Linked DNA regions of Rattus norvegicus. The protein of the gene in region 3 purifies or fractionates together with the protein of the main gene of each other region. This does not show direct contact. Links are inferred from orthologs where the notes say so. Each region holds a gene or a part of one and is shown on either strand. Other genes may lie near its edges.

Region 1 (5,881 bases), about 63 Mb from region 3:
ACTCTACGACCTACCCACGACCCCGCCCTCTCCTGCTGACCCTTTTCTTCCCAACTCCTCCTCCTCCAGTCCCCCTTTGTCATTGTTTCCCAATGAGTTTAATCAGAGCTGTTTGTAGGAGGAGAATGGGTATGCAGTTATTTACTGAACCACAGGCGACTGAACAGTGAAGAGAAAGTCACACATTTTTTCTTAGAAAAGGTCATAAGAGAGCCTCAAACTGAAGAGCAGACCCGAGTGTGCTGCAGTCCTGGAGTAACTGAGGTGGCGACAACGCCACGGTTTCCTTGCATGGACAGAAGCTCTCGGTTCTCCTGCGAGCAGTTACAGCAGCTAAGAAAGCGCTTCGAGACAGACCCCAACCCTAACGAGGAGACTCCTGAGGCCTTGGCCGAGGAACCCAAACTGGCAAAGGATGCATTAGGCACTGGTTCTTCAAGAAGAGGCGCGAGACGATGCTCAAGGGGTCGTCTAAGGCCTGCGAGAACTGCAAAATGTGCTGCTGCCACTGTACGTCAAGAGGAACCACCAGGCAGAACCCCAAGGAGTCCCCTCAAAATGACCCTGGACCCGAAGCTTTGGAAGCCTTGAGGAGTCCCACACTCTCTTCTGGGTACCGTAGCAGAGATAACATGTCACGGGTTTCTGACCTGTCAACCTCCTTGTTGGGATTTATGTCTATGGAAGGTACATTAACAATAAAGCTTGCATTCATAGAAACTAAAAGAAAAGCCATAAACTATCGCTCACACAGTTGACAGAAAATGTGTATGTATGACATCGGAAGCGTCTCAAATGCTACTAATTTATTTTTACTTCTGAAGTAATGTTTACAAATTTACTTTCCTGCTATGCACATTTTCAGAATTTTTTCTTCTTCCACTGTTGGGTTTTTTTTTAAAAAAAGATCTATTTAATTTTATTTTATCTGTAAGAGTGTTTTGTCTGTATGTATGATGTGTACCATGTTTGTGCCTGGTGTCTGTGGTGGTCAGAAGAGGCTGTCAGATTCCCTGGAACTGAAGTCAGTAACCGTGTGGGAGCTGGGAACTGCTCTCCTCTACAGAAACAAGTGCTCTCGGTGCTGAGCCATCTTTCCAGCACCGATAAAACAGTCTTTAATACATGCCAACCCAATTTAAAAGTCCAAAATCAAATGCCCCCAAGTAACATTTTGAGCTCTGACGTAACAACACAAGTGGGAAATTCTATACGTACTTTTATGAGATAGGCCAGTCAAAACAGATACACTGCTCCACAGTCTTCAAATGTGAGCGCATGGCGAGAAGATGGGGATGGGCCTGCTCTACGGACCTTTAAGATCTCATAGTGAACAGGCGGGGAAGAATCCTTGGACATACCTGAGAGTTCACGTGATACTGAGGACCTTGGATACCTGGCTAGAGACACATGGTACTCAGCCTCACAGAGAGTGGGCATGCTCAGTAATGCCCACGCATTATGGCAGGAGCTATGTCGTGGATGTAATCAGTCTGGCAGAAATGAATTAACTTTAAAGAGACACATTGGCTATCAGATTTGCAAAACAAAGGATCCCAAGATAAAGTTCAATAAGACTACCTTATCTCTCCTCCCTCCTAATTACAACAGTTTACAGAGCTCAACAAGGAGATGGTGTTTGCCGTGGCCATGAAGTGCCAAGCCTCAGAGATAATCCTAAGCTGGTCCAGTCGGAAATCCTGTCCACACAAGCTTATGACTTTATTTAAACCTTGAACTTCATGTCCGAGATTCTGATTAAAGGCAGACTCAGTTAACTACAGATGCAGCCTCCACGGCCCACATCTGGAATGAAGCTCTGAGCAAGATCCAGCAGGCTGAGGCCCCAAGGACAGACGCCCTCCGTGGGAACAAACTAGGTTCCAATCCTCAAAGAGGACGTCTCAAAGTAGCCTGTAGTGACGCCCTGATGGCAAGGGGACATTTGAGGTGACTTCTGAAGTACCTAAGCTGCCTTTTCTACCTTCATAAATTTAACATGTTTGAGTCAAATCTCGAGTTTTGTCCCCGAAGTCTCCTTGTCTGTCTTTTCTAGGTATACGTGGAGCCACAACTAACTCGCCTGCCCATCTGAACCCCCCTGGTCTTTCGTTCTTTCTGCCCCGGAGCCCCCACAGCCCCCACACTAATCCAGTCATTATCCTCCTTTCTGCCAATATTTGACTTCTAAAACATGCTCGGCATAACACGACAGGCTTCTCTGGGGAGCGAGCTGTCAGCCAGACCTGCCTCTCTCTGGCACTCAGCAGCACCGCGGACATAGCGATAATGGGTGTGAATTAGCCCACGCCTCTCCCTGGGAGGTGGCAGGTGTCAGGGCTCAGCATGGGCTCCTTACATCTCAGCAGTCACATGAGCTACATGCTGTTCCTACAGAGTTTCAGACTCCGGTCTCTTCATTCACTCACTTCATTCACACACTCACTTTTAAACATCTCTTTTCTGTAACTACAAGATGCATATATTGTTCCACTGTGCAAGTAGGGGAGGAAATCGGGAAGGGAATTCATGTGGAAACCAGTAAACCGATTATACGTGAGGTGTTATACAAGTCTTGACAGGTGAGCAGGACATGTTAGGGTGCTCGGTCGTGGGAAAAAGGGTTCTGTTTTTAAAATCTGTATGTGTATGAATACTCTGCATATTTGTGTGTCTACCATGTATGTGCAGTACCCACAGAGGCCAGAAGAGGGCGCTGGATCCCCTGGGACTGCGGTTATAGACTGCTGTGAGCCACCATTTGTGTGCTGGAAATCCAACCCGGGACCTTTGGAAGATCAACAATGCTCTTAACTATCTCTCCAGACCCTCGAGGAGAGGTTTAATACTGAGACCATCAGGAAATGGGACATTTGGGTGGGTCTGAGGCTGAACTAAGTGTGCCTGGTGAAAACCAAAGGGGTCTCATGTCTGCACACATATTTTCTGAAGAGACAAACATTTCTAAAACAGAAGTTCTATGGGGATTCAAACCAGATGCTAGACTCTAGCTGGGCTCACGCACTGACAGAAGAGCTTTCTCAGATTCTTAGCTTCCTGTATGAGCCAAGTGTCTTGTCTCTACAGGCTCCCAAGGCTCACCCGCGGCTGCTCTGCAGAGACAGTAATGCTGTGACAAAAGCTCCTCTCTGAGCAGCTAAGGGCATGCGCTTGTCTGTGGCAGCACGGCCATTTTAAACAAAGGCCCTAGAAGCATAGTCTTCATCAAGAAAGGCTCAGAAATATTTCTCCATGCTATTGCTCTTTGGTAGAAAGAAGAAAATACTGTTTCCATCCAGCCTGTGATGTTAAAAAATGGAGAATTAAACATATACTCCATCAGTAAGCATCTCAATGAACACACAGGCAAAACTGACCCAGCAACTCTCTCGTCTTCGCCTCTATCTCTCCCAGCAGTGTCTCAGGACTAGCGCTGGTCTTTTCTTCCTCCAAGCTGTACGACTCCAGGAACTGTTTATACTCTGGGTCTGCAGTTTAAAACAGAACGAATGAATGAATCAGGTACCCCCCTCCAACGGTAGGTCATGCTTGGTCAGTGTAGTTAATCTACAGATTTATAAATCAGCTTTTGAAAAGGACTCACCGTCTTCGATGCTTCCGGTCTTGGCATCCTTTTTCTTCACCTTCTTTTTGGCAATCTTCTGGAATGGAGCAAACTCCACCACTGCAGGGTACTCCAGGCCTGGAAGGAGAGATATTCCAAGGGTCACTGTGAACTCCACTCTACTCGCCTTGGGAAAGCAGTATCTAACGCCGCGTCTATCTACGTGGGGTTAAAGCTTCAGATCCAACCTGCTTCCAGGAAGTGGTGAAGAGAAGCAACTCTCACGACATCATCAGGGGACTCACAGCACTACTCACCACACGCAGTGGTCCGTCATCAGGGGACTCACAGCACCACTCACCACACGCAGTGGTCCATCATCAGAGGACTCACAGCATAAAACAGCTCAGTGACAAGGGAGAAATGCACAGGTCCGTAAACACAACTCTTCCCTATTACTTCCAAATGATGTCTGAACGGACCTTCAGTCATGCCTTTTTGTTACAGTCAACTATTTTGATGTTAGGTGTTTTGTGTTAGAGCGATAACTCAGTGGTTGAGAGTAACTGCTGTTCTTGCATAAACCACATTAGGTGGCTCACCAAAACCTATACGTCCAGGGCCAGAAAACCCAATTCCCTCTTATGACTTCTGAGGACACCTGCACATAGTACACACACACACACACACACACACACACACACACACACACACACACACACACACGTACACAGAGAGAGAAGGTAGGAGGACCACGAGTCACTCAGGAGGCAGGGGAATTAATCACTGAGGCTTTAAGGCCAGCCTGAGCTAAAAGAGTCTATCTCAAAAAGGGGAGGGGGAGATAAGATGATTTCAGATGCATATATTTTACTAATATTTAAAATGAAGAGATCAGCTGAATAAAGGAGTCAGCAGTGAACTAAAATGCCCAATAGCCTGAGCCCTAAACCTGCTTGACACTCACAGACTCACAGAAACTACAACCTGACCTTCTGCTCGCCACAACGGAGAAGGGACCGCGAAGTTGTGGAGGAGAGATGGAGGAGTTCAGTATTGGGAGGGGGATGGGTGGGGAAAGAATGTCTGGGGAGGGCAGAAAAGAGCTTCCTACAGAATGTTTACAAACCTTAAGGCAGAAAATATAACACAGGGCAGTTGGACAGGACAGGGAAGGAAGAATATAAAAACAGATGCAGAAAGTTCAGGAGCAGAGTCCCTGAGGGGGAGACCGCACCGCATGCTCCAGGGCTGCTATTCATGACCATATGCCCCTCTGCAACACTTTCAAGAAACCGCAATCATGGCCAGTACTCTGGATTCCTGCGTAAATGTAACTTGGAAAAGGAACGCGCGAACACCCACTCTCCAGCAATGGTGCATTCCTGTTCTCCTCACACAGAATGTCTGGGATTCTTTGGTTTATAAGCCTCGACAGCACGCGATACAGTAACAGTAAACGTTTATGACCTTATTTGAGAAGTTAACTGAAACTCACTAACCTTTATTGCCAATGAAGATGTATCCATCAAAACGGTCTCTGAACAGCAGGATGTCATCAGGGTTCCTAAAATTAATGTACGCTCTGGAGTAGAGGTGAGGGTAGAGGCTGAAACCCGAGACAGCGATGGTTAGTAAAGCTGTACGACGCTTAATTTGGCCTTATCTTTTATGAATAAGCAAACACTTTTTTATGCCAAAGAATCACTGCTCAGTTAATTTTAACAATCTGGGTATTCCTTAGCAAAAAAAGGAAGAGGAAGAGGAGGAAGAAGAGGAGAATGAGGAGGGGGAGGAGGAAGAGGAGGAAGAAAAAGAGGAAGAGGAGGAGGAAGAGGAGGAGGAAGAGAAGGAAGAAGAGGAGGAGGAGGAAGAGGAAGAGGAAGAGGAGGAAGAGGAGGAAGAAGAGGAAGAGGAGGAGAAAAACCACCCATTAACTGAAGCCTTAATTATCCAGGAGCGCCTCTACTGTACACAGCCAAGGTTAAAATACTAGACTCCATTAGTCACCCAAACACCATGGGTACTTTTAGGGTTGTTTCTGGTACATCTGAACAAGAACAAGACTAGTCTTAGCTCCTTCATGGATGACATGTTGTACTGTTAGTTCCTTTTGGATGAGTAGACCAGTGCTTTGGTACCAAGAAACACTAAACCATTATCCCCATCTCAGCCACAGCTCTTTTCTCAGGTAGGGATCCTTCCATTCCGATTCACAGAGAATATTAAAGTTTAGAGCAATCTGTTTGTACAGAGGGTGCAAGTTTCAAGCTGGGACCGGGACTCCACTGAGTAACTCCCTGTTCTTTTAACTGT
Region 2 (5,881 bases), on a different chromosome or scaffold from region 3:
TTAAAAAGCAGTATTTTATTCTATTCTCAGGTACAAAAGAAAGCTACTCATAAATGACTTTGGAAGAGAGAGAAAATCGTCATCAGGAAGGTACATGCTGAAACATTTCTAATTTGGTAATGACATTTTGGGGGGGGGGACTATCGCCCCAGCACTTATTGGTAGTTTGTTCTTCATTATTGTGTGCTGGAAATTTCCATAGTACGGAATCTGGGGTTTGTTGTTCTTGTTTAAGGTGATTTCTGTGTAGCCTTGGCTGTCCTTGAACTTAGATCTACCTGCCTCTGCATCCTTGGTGTTATGATTAGGTGTGCCACCACCTCCTGGCCCAGGTTCTGGATCTTGGTAGGATTCCTATTTCAAATGGAGAGGGGGACTGTTTGTGTTAGTTTTTTTTTCTTTTCTTGGCACCTAATGATCTTAAATTCAAAGCTCATTTAATCTTTATTCTTTTCAGTTCTGATTCAAAGGAGTCTGTGTCTTCAGTGCCTGCTGACGTGGAGACAGATGAAAGTGTCTTGATGAGAAGGCAGAAGCAGATCAACTATGGGAAGAACACTATGGCCTATGATCGATACATTAAAGAGGTGCCCAGGTAGTGTCACACAGGCCTGTTCTAACCCTGTTCCACAACATTGTGCCTGTTAAGGAGCTGCTTATATTAGACACATACGCTAGGAAGTGTTTATTACTAACTCATAAGAATTTACATGCAGGGGTTGGGGATTTAGCTCAGTGGTAGAGCGCTTGCTAGGCAAGCGCAAGGCCCTGGGTTTGGTCCCCAGCTCTGGAAAAAAAAAAAAAAGAATTTACGTTCAAACCAAGAATAGATTGGCATCAGAAAGGCTGTGGATGGGGGGCTGGGGATTTAGCTCAGTGGTAGAGCGCTTACCTAGGAAGCACAAGGCCCTGGGTTCGGTCCCCAGCTCCGAAAAAAAGAACCAAAAAAAAAAAAAAAGAAAGGCTGTGGATGTTTTGACATCCTCAGGACTTAGAAAGTGTGTCATTTTATAGAGTATGTAGTTATTAAAATACACAATAGGAAAGTAAACAATTATCTAATTGGAGAGCTGGGCATGGTGGTATTTTAATGATTGTGTGTATGAAGCCTGGTCATGGTGGACATACCTTTAATCCCAGCACTCAGGAGGCAGAGACAGGCAGAGCTCTCAGTTCAAGGACAGCCTCGTCTACAGTGTCAAGACAGCTAAGGCTTCACAGAGAAACCCTGTCTAGAAAAACCAGAGAGAAGGAGAGATTATATATGAGGGTTTTTCCCCTCTGCATGCATGTACAGTATGCCATGTGCATGCCGAGTACCTCTGGAGGCCAGACGAGGGTGTCGGAGCCCCTGGAACTATAATTACAGATGGTTTTGAGCCACTCTGGATTCTGAGAGTCCTTAAGTGAAAAAAAAAAATCATTACCCTGTCTCCCCTTTTTCTCTCTTTTCCAAGGCAGGATTTCTTTGTGCAGCCTTGGCTGTCTTAAAACTCACTTTGTAGACCAGGCTGCCCTCAAACTTAAGAGATCCACCTAACTGCCTCCAGAGTGCTGGGTTAAAGGCATGTGTCAGCTTTATTGTTCTCTTGAACAGACATATAATATGGCTGTGTATATGTGTCTTTTAAGCAGAATTGGGATTAAAACATTTTCTAGAATATGGGGTATTTTTTGTTTTGTTTTGTTTTTTTCTTTTTTTCGGAGCTGGGGACCAAACCCAGGGCCTTGCGCTTGCTAGGCAATCGCTCTACATCTGAGCTAAATCCCCAACCCCTAGAATATGGGTTTTAAAGGAATAGTAAGATTTTAAGAAAGGGTCTTGCTGGGTGTCTTTTATTTACCATTCTGCCCCAGCCTCCCAAGTGCTGAGAGTATAGGTTTGTGCCTGGTTGAGATACTACTTTTAGTGGATTTCTTTGTTCGCCTTATGGACTCTCAGTCATTACTAGGTGTGGTAGTGCATGCTTTTAATCTGGGCAATCAAGAGGCAGACATGGGAGGATCTCTGAATTTGAGACCAGCCTGATCCACATAGCAAGTGCTGAGCTTACATATGGAGACCCTGACTATGAAAAGCTAAAAATAAATAAAAAGAAAAGAGAATATAAGTTATTTGTTAAATGTTGACCTCAAAGTGTGCTAAGGTAATCTTATGTCCTGCAGACACCTGCGACAGCCTGGAATCCATCCCAGGACCCCCAACAAATTTAAGAAGTATAGCCGGCGGTCATGGGACCAGCAGATCAAACTCTGGAAGGTGGCTTTGCATTTTTGGGATCCTCCTGCTGAAGAAGGGTGTGATTTGCAAGAAATGTATGTCTTTGTTTCTTTCTTTATCTCCTGTCACAGTGACAGATTCCCTGGACACTGTTGAGAACAGACACTAGCCTTCAGGCTTGATTTATTATTGCACAGTTGTGGATGCTAGGAAGGAATTTGAGAGTTAGAAAACAGCTCAGTCTAGGACACTCGGCTGTGTGTACATTTCAGAGGAAAACCTTGGGTGTCAGTTCTTTATACCTGTCTGAGGTAGGTTCTTGTGTTCACTGTGTTTGTTACTTTGGGCCAGGTAGCCTTGGGAGCTTTCTTTGACATGCATTCTGGGATTCCAAAATTAGAAGCTTCTGCCTATTTTCCACTGAGCAATATCCCCAGTTCTATTTGAGTGGGTTTTTTTTTTTTTTTTTTTTTTTTGGTTTAGATTTTGGACCTAGGGTTTCTCTGTAGTCCTGACATCCTGGACCTAGAAGTGTAGACCAGGTAGGCCTTGAATGTAGAGTTCCTCCTGCACTCCTGAATACTGGGATTAAAGGTTGCACCACTATCTCCTGTCCTCTTTTTAGTCTGGTTTATACATTTTTTACGTATGGGTGCTTTGCATCTATGCCTGCAAAACAGAAGGCATTGGATCTCATTATAGGTGGCTATAAGCCACCATTCAGTTTTTGGAACTTGAACTCAGAACTTTTGAAAGAGCAGTTAGTGCTCTTAGACACTAAGCCATTTCTTCAGGGCTCATAGACCCCAATTGATTCATGCTAGGCAAACACTGTTCAGACCAAGCCACATCCCTAGCTGTATCTTTTTGGTGTTTTGATCAGGGTCTTAACTCTGTATCACAGGCACACCTTGAAGTTCTGACTTAAAAGGTATTGACACCCTACCATTCCTCTCTTGCTACTACTTTTCAAGAATGTTTACAGGGCCAGGAATTAGGACAGCCAGAGTGTATAGATAGATAAACAAAAAAGGGAGCTGGAGAGATGGCTCAGTGGTTAAAGAGCACTGACTGCTCTTCCAATTCCCCACATGGCAACTCATACCTGTCTAACTCCAGTTCTGGAGGGTCTGTCATTTTCTCACAGACATGTAGCAAAACACCACTTTACATGAAAGGAAGAAAAGAGAAGGAAAGAAAGAAAAGAAAGAAAGGAGAATCGGGAAAAGGATATTTATGGATATATGTGAATAACAGCATAGATTCTCAGACTAGTCCTCCAAGCTGGGTGACCTTTCACCTGGGAGTTGCTGCCAGCTTTCTGTGTTGGGTTGATTGGTCAGGAATGAAATTTGGCAAATGTGAAATGTTCCATGGGAAACAACACTGTTGTGGGTGGTGTTTGGCTTTAGCAAACAACCTTTCTGATTGTAACAGGTGACTGATAAGCTTATTTTATTTCTTAGACAACCTGTAGATCTTGGGGAAATGGAGACAGAATTCACAGAAAGCAGCTCTGAGTCCCAGACAAGTTCACAGGATAACTTTGTAAGTACTTTTAGTCTGTCTCTCAGCTTGGGTGTTTTAAGTCATTTGAGTTATGACTGGGGGTGGTAGAGTATTTTAATACCAGTGTGCGAATGAATTGAAGGCATTCAAAGCAGAGGTGTGCTGATCTTTTAAGTTCCAAGCCAGCATCTCTAACTTCCAGGCCAGCATGGTGTGTGTGGCAAAATCCAGGCCTGCTAGGTTGCTAGGACTACATAAGGGCTTCCCTCATTTCCCAGTATAATCTTTCTCATTGGTTTAGTAGTTAATGACGTCGTACATTTGTTCAAATCTGTTCACATTTATACAGTTTACCTAAAAAGATGCCCTTATATCTGTGAATAAGACCTTGCACTATTGTATATAGGCCAATATTGTATATTTGTATATATATAATACCTAGATTCTGAAGTGGCAAAACATAAAAGACTTCAAACACAAGCAGTTATAAGCTATTCTTTTGCCATATTTGGTCATGGCCATGAACAAAGATGCATTGCCTTATTCTGGCTCCCATCTGTGTCACTCCAGTTGTACTCAGGTTTATTGATCCTTTTCATAGTATACCATGTGGTTGTGACAAGTCAGAAATGAATATGTATATACACTAAAGAAATGTCTTCGTGCTCAGAGTAATAACTAAGGTGAAGCTTGTGCGATGGACTGATGCAGGTGTGACTACCTCTATTTTCCAGGATGTATATGCTGGCACACCCACCAAAGTCAGACATGTGGACTGCCAAGTGGAGGACGAGTTTGATTTGGAAGCTTGTTTAACTGAACCTTTGAAAGACTTCTCTGCCATGAGTTAACTGCCCCCTGGTGGTTACTCTGAGAAATACTTGGCTCTGCCTGGCTGCCTGGAAGGCATGAGTTGCTGTGCATTTGTATTTGTTTTCTCTGTTAAGAATTTATTTTCTCATGATAAATAGTTTTTCTTGCCTTATTTTTATGTATGGTGAATGTGTTACGCATGTTTTAAATTGTAAATGAAGCTGAATCCAGTGAAGACTTAACCCTATTACCTTTCTGCCTCCTAAGTTAGACAACAGGATGCGTGTGGTTTTCTACCAGAACTTGGGACTCCAGCTACCACGTTTCAAATGGGTTGGCCACGGATTTTAACCGTGTGTTTATGGGACCAATTTAGAATTGGCTGCCCTTTAGGTAACTGATGAAGAATTCTCAGTCAGGCAGCTGCAGTGACTTTGTAAAAACTTATTTTCTGGTCTTTTATCAATGTGAATGTAGCTTTCCCTCATACAGAGCTCTGAGCAAAGATGTTAAGCTGTTATATTAATGGGCTTTTATGTAAGTTATATAGTTTTAATTTGGAACTTGAAATAGCATTAGTGTGAGGTAAGTATTTTAGTAAATGCTCTGTGAGTTGATGCAGAAGAGAGGAAGAGAGGGATTTAGAAAGAACTTTGTTTTTTTTTTTTTTTTTTAATGATCAGTTAATTTACCATGTAATATTGCTGTAAATGATGTGTACAGATAACTCTGTTCATGTATTCAATTGTAAACTTGTCAATATTTGCATTTCTATTGCTTTTGTATGGAATGATAATTGCAAAAATAAAGATGCTTTAACTGATTATAACATTGCCCTGTACTGTGTGAAGGGGTCAGGGCAAACTTTTCTTTTGTACCTGAAGCATTTGTTTGGCATAAGGGAATGTTATCTCCCTTTGGTGAGAAAACCATGTACAGACACTGCTGACGTGTTAAGTTCCCATCCATCTGATCTGTAAGGGGTCCTTGATTACAATGCTCTGACAAGCCTCACCATTTTGTGCCTAAGCACAAAGGGCCTTTGTATATTTGACATTTGTTCTCTGCAGGTTCTATGTCAGCCACAGTAGTGACCCTGAAGACTTTATGGTTGGTTTGAGACCATCAGGTTGAGATAAATGAGTAGGGTCAGGTAGGGATTCTGGAGATGCCTGGTAGGTGGCATTATGAGTTACGCCTTGAAAGACAAGCAAGTACAAAGGCCCTGAGGTAGAAGTATAGATAAGCTGACTATGAGCCTGTGTGGAGGCTAGGAGGACCTGAAACAGTGAAAGCTGGAGGAGGAAAGTAGGAAAACCATCCTTGTGCTGGATGTTG
Region 3 (6,320 bases):
CACAGTGCCATCCATCCTCTGCCACTCTTCCTCTTAGCCTTGCTCAAGGCCCTTCTGTCCAAGACAGATCACAGTACCCACAGCACAACCACATCCAGGCCACGCTCTCCCAACTCATCGAGGCTGGTGACCCCCAAAGGCTGCCACAGGCACTCAGGTCATCCTGCTACCTTCCTCTCAGTGTCTCAGAGTGGGCACCATGAGCAGCTGGTCAGGCCTTCCTCCACCAATCCACCATGCAGGAAAGGAAAAAAAGATGCTGTGAGGGTAGAAGCCAGGCCACAGGCTGTCAAGAGATCATGTGGGAACACCTGAGGGTACAGAGGTGGCGCCAGTCCCAGCCACAGCATCGTGAGGGCCTCGGGGCTGCCGTCAGCCTCACCTGTGACCACTGGCCAATGGGCCTCATGGGTGCATGTGCTGCCCAGGGAACTGCACCAAAGGAGAGCCACAGTGACTACTGTCTCACTTTATAACAGCTGTTCCCAGCAGTGAGGAGGGCTCACAGAGGCAGAGCCCTTGAGAGATCTTGATTTGCTCACTTCTCTCCTAGTAAGACAGAGCTGGGTGAAGGGGCTAAATATGACAAATGTCATAGTCATGCACCCACAGTTCTGCTCTCAGAGCCTCAGCACTTCAACAGAGGACAGGTTTCCACACACCCACAATGGGACCGTACAGGAGGCTGAACCGTAGCAGGCATGATGTGGCCCATGAGGCTAAGGAGCCGCCTGTGGACAGTGAGGCTGGACGGGATGATAGGTCCCTGTGAAGAAGACAGACCAGGAGGTACTGGAGCACAGGAGCATATCAGAGTCCTTGTTGCCATTAAATCCTAAGTCTCCAGTATGGGCACACAGTGGCATCTGTTTTCTAGCATTCTGATTTTTGCTATTTCACTGATGGCAGAAGGCCTATGTGCTAAAAAGCATGTGACAGTGGAGATGCCACAGGTCCCCAAAGACCCATCACATCCCAACAAGGGCAACTCAATCCTATCTGGTGCCCCCTACCCTGGCCCCAGCTCCCTCTTTGGTCGTTCTTATCCTGATAGTGTCTACAGTCAAGCCCTGATACTTCTTCTCCATTAGTGGGTCCTGTTCCCACCGACTTCACTGTCAGAAAGAAAGGTGACAGCAGCACTCAGGAGCTGAGACCAGGGGTCTCTCCCACAAGCCTGCATTCAAGTGACAACTCACGTCGCCTCTTGGTTCTCTAAGGAAAAGGGATCTGAAAGTCAAGATCGGGGAAACCAGCCTGTCTTATCTCAGGGACTCTGCAAAACAGTGCCAGCACACTCTTCCTGGACCCTCAAGTGTTCTAATGAACAGTAGGGCCTTTCACACACAAAATGGGGTTCTCCAACATTGAGCCAACAGTCCTCTACCTCTAGACTTCAGGGTCAAATTCCCAGGGTCAGTATCCAGAGCCACACATGCAGAGGGACACAGGACTCCAGAATAAGCTTCTTCCTCTATAAACTTCTCCCAAGGTACCTTCCGGCTCAGTGCAGTGCAGCCACTCAGTCCCAAAAAGAATACACCAACACATACCAGCACAGGGGCACTCAGGTTATGACAGTAACAACAGGGCCCTGTGGTTTGTCTGCACTCCAAAGTAATGAACCACAAACATGAGAGACACAGGACAAGTATACTATGCCATCTATCCAGCAAAGGAAGGGCCTGAGACATTCACATCCACAGAGGCCACAGGATTCTTGGTGGCTGAAGAGAGAGGCTGGGGGTACAGGGACTCAGGATGCTGAGACATTACTTGGTATTAATGATGGTGGCCCAAAAGGCCACTGTCCTGTCAGCTTTCCAGGGATATATGCAGGTTCCATGATTCTGCTTCAATAAAGCCAGAAGAGAACTGCCAGCAGCCCACAGGGGCAGCTCAACCTACTGAGTAGGGGGTCTATCCTCCTAGGATCCCCTGTGTGACCCATTCACCTCCAAGGATAAATAACGAAAAGCAATGTTTTTGGTGGCTGAGGACACTGGGTGTGCAAAGGATTTTTTCCACTTTCCAATTTTGCTCACTTTCTGCCCACAGATACAGGTCTTCCTAATACAGGATTGAAGGCCCTCCCTCCCTCCTTCCCATTCTCCCTTCCTCCCTTCCTCCATCTCTTCCCTCCTCCCTCCCTCCCTCCCTCCCTCCCTTATGATGAGAGGCCACAGGTGGGCGGCAGCTCATGGCTCAATCTATGGTTTCAACTGGCGGAGCAGGGCACACCCATGTGAGCACACGCATAGCACAAGTCTGCTTTGTACATTAGCTAGAGCTAAAAGACCTTGAGATGAAGCACCCCACTTCCACTCCTGGTCTCCCCAGCTGTGCCATCACAGCCTGCTGCACAGTGCCCCTCTCCAGGCCCATAAGGCTGGAAGGAAGGAAGGAAGGAAGGAAGGAAGGAAGGAAGGAAGGAAGGAAGGAAGGTAGGTAAGTAGGTCTACCTAGTGGGGAAACTAACAGGAGGACTGGCCTTCTGGGCCACTTCACTCCTCCAGGCAACCTGCCCTCTCTCCACCTCCTTACGCTAAAGGTAAATAGCTAGAAACAACACGCAGGCACACCTGATCCTGCACCGCAGTAGGGGCTGACTCAGCCTTCTTCTCCTATTAGGGCTGAAAATGAGCCCAAGTGGGTGGTCTACCCACAAATATGACTCAACCAGCCAGCTCGAAGGCCCTCCCGGAACTCGGTCTGAGATCACTGCTGGAGACTGGTGGTGGCTCCCTAGCCCTAAGCACACACATGGACTGTAAGAACACCTGTGGCTCTAGTCGGCAGCTCCCCGGAGAATACAGGAAAACAAAGCCTAGAGGTGCCCAACACCAAGCCAGCCATTTGACAGGGAGGTAGGGATGGCCTGTCCCTAGCCTACACCGACAGTCTGTCATTCAAAACAAAAGCCCCTCCCCAGGGCACAGTCACCCGTGTGATACCCATTGTGGTTGCCTCTAAGGAACAAAACTCAAACCCAACTTTTCCAAGCAGAGCCTAGGAGTTACATAACACTGGTCTCAGCAACAGGCAACCCAGAAGGAAAAAACGAACCAGCAGCTGTCTCTCAGCCACCTTAACCAGCCACAAAGTGGGCTGTTTCCACCCGAGGCGCCAAAACCCTAGATTTGCTCCAGAGAGCCCCTCCACCAAACTTGAACCCTGGCTGGAGGCGTGGTGGATGGAAGTGGCAAGAGGGTGAGATGGGATGGTTGGACTAGCCAAATAGGTGACCCTGGAGGACAGTGTGGGTCCAGAGGATAGCACTAGGGCCAGAGAAACCTAGTGTAGGTCACCTTAGACCCACCTAGAAGGGGAGTGAGGGCAGTTCTGGCATAAGCCTTGAGCTGGAGCAGATTCTGTGCTATACAGGAGGAGGGACACTAATGCAGGTCACTGCCCAGTCTAGCTGGGTGGAGGAAAACAGGACAGGTAGCAGAGACTAGGTGCAGGTGGCTAGGACAAGAGGCAGGGAATTAGAGGAGATGGTATGTAGTAGGGACCTGAGGCAGATGGCAATGACTGTGGCAGGTAGACCTGGGAGAGGTATTGGAAAAGGTAGCTGAAGGTGGAAGCAGAGATCTGGGAAAGGGGTAAGTAAACGGGAACCAGGGTAGGGTAGCAGAGATCTAGGACAGGTAACAAGGACCCAAGGCAGGTGGCAGGTACCTGGGCAGTTAAACAGGAATCTAGGGTGGGTAACTAGAGATGGTCAATAGGGATTTTGTTTAAGGAGCCAGAGTAGGAAGCATACACCCAGGCTTATTAACTGGACCTGGGGCCGGTAGCTCGGACCAGCACAAACTCGGACCTGGCGCAGGTTCACAGGGGCCCAGGGCTGGTTAACTGAGACCTGGCGCCGCAGCTCCCGCTCCCGCCCGGTTTCCGGCGCCGCCATGCGCCGCTCAACTCACTTGCGCGTCGAGCTGGCCGGCCGCGCCGCCTGCACCCGCTCCGCCTGGGCCTCCCGCGCCGCCGGGGCCGCCGGGGGGCGTCTGCGTCTGGCTGGGTAGGGTGAAGTCGGTGAACTCGAACTCGGAGCCCTGGGTGTCGGCACCGAGCAGCTCGGCCTCCTCAGTGTCCAAGAAGGTGAGTGTCTGAGAGCTGGGGCCGTACGCCTCCACGCTCATCTTGCCGCCCGGGCCGCGCCTTCCGCCGGCGCCTCACCGCACTCGAGCCCGAGGCTTCGCCTAGGCCTAGGCCGTAACCCGGAGCAGCCGCTGCCGCCGCCCTGAGGACCGGGCGGGCTCCGAGCCGGCCTCTGGAAGCAGAGCCCGGACTCCGGCTCCGAGCTCTGAGTTGCCGCCGCCGCTGCCGCGCCCCTCCGCAACGCTGCTCGCCTCAAAGCCGACCGCCGCTCTCAGCCCCCTGGACAGGAACCGCCGCCGCCGCCACCGCTGCGGTGCGCGTGCGCGAGCCCGACGCCGGCGCAGGCGCGCGCGTCCCTCCCGGAAAGTAGCCAACCGCACCGGGGCACTAGGAGCAGAGCGGGAGGGCGGAATTCGTCGTGCGCCTGCGCGAAGAGGCGGGCCTTCAACTGCCTAAAGGACCTGGGCTCGCGAACTTGGCTCCGCCCCAACCGCTGCCTAGTGATGCGCATGCGGGGTTGCGACATCCTCACCGCCAGGCTTCTGGGCTGCATGTTCATTAGGTGCTAACTGAGGCTCTTTCCAGAAGGTCTTGGGTGTAGAAACTGTGGCACAGGGACCGCGCATCTGCCTTCCTTGAGCTCTAGTTACCCCGTCTGCCACTTGACTCGTGGCCATCTTTACTATTCATCGATTGAATGAGTAGAGAGCAGGGATTCTGCCAAATGGTAGTCACTGCTACCCCTGGCACTCCTGAAGCCTGTGAAGATAACTGCTTCTTTCTTTTATCTTGAGATCAAGTCCCACTGGTCCGGGCTAGCCTGGGAATCGCTGAGAAGGGGTCAGATCCTCTAGAACTAGTTACAGATGATTGTTAGCCCCTCTTGTAAGTGCTGGGAGCCAATTCTTTGCCTCTGAGCCATCTCTCTAGCCTGTTTTGAAAGAGGGCCTCATATAGTAACCCAGGCTGGTTTGGAACTCTGGGGAATCTTCCTGCCTCAAAGCCCCTGGTGGTGCGATGACTGTACATTCGATATTGTCCACAGAACCCAGAGCTTTTGTATGCTAGGCAAAGGCCACCAACTGATGAGCATCCACAGCCAGAATCGAGACTCAGAGGAACACACTCCTTCCTCCCTGTGCTACCTTCCCACTCTCAGTGGAGGATGTGTAAGTGTCGCAGCTCTGAAGGGAAAGGCCTTCCCCCACAGAAGTGGATCCGCTCTGCTTGGGCAGGGGAGGTTTCCCCAGAGAAAGTGTTTCACTGTGTTCCAAAAGGTATCCTGGCAATTGGGAGCCAAGGAATACAACAAAGTCACAGCACACAACAAACCTCATAGGAGATTTATTGGGAGGGGAAAACCCAGGAGGGTGGCTGCCTCTGCTGAGGTGGCTCTCCCAGTCAGTACAGGGCTGGATGTGGTGGCACGTGCCTTAAAATTCAAGCACTCAGGAGTCGGAGGCAGGGGGATTGCTAACTCTGAAGCCAGTCTTGTCTACAGAGCGATGTCCAGGACACCCAGCATTACATAATCTCAAAACACAAAAAAGATGCTGTGTGTAGAGGCCCAGGCCCAGGACTCTGGAGATGGAGGAGTGTTTGTCTGCATGCATGCCTGTGCACCATGTATGTCTATGCAGTGCCCTTGGAAGCCAGAAGAGAGCACATGATCCCCAGAGAAATGGAGTTACAGATGGTCGTGAGCTGCCTGTGGGTGCCAGGAATTGAACCTGTATCCTCTGCAAGAACAGGCTCTTGCTCACTGAGCCATCTCTCCAGCCTCAATGCACACAATTTAAGAGACTAAAATATATTTTAAAGACCAAAACAAGGGGGCTGTTGACATGGCGCAGTGTACCCGAGCTCAAATTTCTAGACCCTATGTAAATGTTGGGGTGTGAGGACATGTGCCTGTAACCCCAGCTCCTCTTTGGGAAGATGGGAAGCAGGGTCTCCAGAAGCTTGGGGCAGGCCAGCCTGCAATATCCAATGCTGACAAGAGATCCTGCCTCACACAAGCTGGGGCTTGAAGAGGCACACATGGCATTGTCTGATGTTACAGGTGCCTGTGGTAAATGGCCTGCACACACAGGCTTGTGCCCATACTGTGCATGTCTGAGACTTCTCCACAGTGTCCCAGTGTCACAGCAATGTATACTTTGTTAAGAACCTGAGGTCACAGAGGAAGTGTGGGGCCACTGTTTCTTCTCCTCCTTCTC

What was found. The genes of interacting proteins can lie anywhere in the genome.
Region 1: the proteins of Upf1 (region 3) and Upf3a purify together in Homo sapiens (affinity purification with western blotting; 5 studies listed by BioGRID and IntAct, with this or other methods). This does not show direct contact. The link is inferred for Rattus norvegicus from reciprocal best matches to the Homo sapiens genes UPF1 and UPF3A.
Region 2: the proteins of Upf1 (region 3) and Slbp purify together in Homo sapiens (affinity purification with western blotting; 4 studies listed by BioGRID and IntAct, with this or other methods). This does not show direct contact. The link is inferred for Rattus norvegicus from reciprocal best matches to the Homo sapiens genes UPF1 and SLBP.

The regions. Positions count from the first base shown.
Region 1 is NC_086034.1:82,463,474-82,469,354, forward strand, and holds part of Upf3a (regulator of nonsense transcripts 3A), read right to left. Parts: intron 5,175-5,881; coding exon 5,068-5,174; intron 3,704-5,067; coding exon 3,605-3,703; intron 3,489-3,604; coding exon 3,378-3,488; intron 1-3,377. UniProt on the Homo sapiens protein: Involved in nonsense-mediated decay (NMD) of mRNAs containing premature stop codons by associating with the nuclear exon junction complex (EJC) and serving as link between the EJC core and NMD machinery.
Region 2 is NC_086032.1:81,301,080-81,306,960, forward strand, and holds the end of Slbp (histone RNA hairpin-binding protein), read left to right. Parts: intron 1-30; coding exon 31-90; intron 91-457; coding exon 458-595; intron 596-2,166; coding exon 2,167-2,316; intron 2,317-3,687; coding exon 3,688-3,769; intron 3,770-4,464; coding exon 4,465-4,581; 3' UTR 4,582-5,367; downstream 5,368-5,881. UniProt on the Homo sapiens protein: RNA-binding protein involved in the histone pre-mRNA processing.
Region 3 is NC_086034.1:19,108,640-19,114,959, reverse strand, and holds the start of Upf1 (UPF1, RNA helicase and ATPase), read right to left. Parts: upstream 4,423-6,320; 5' UTR 4,143-4,422; coding exon 3,927-4,142; intron 1-3,926. UniProt on the Homo sapiens protein: RNA-dependent helicase required for nonsense-mediated decay (NMD) of aberrant mRNAs containing premature stop codons and modulates the expression level of normal mRNAs.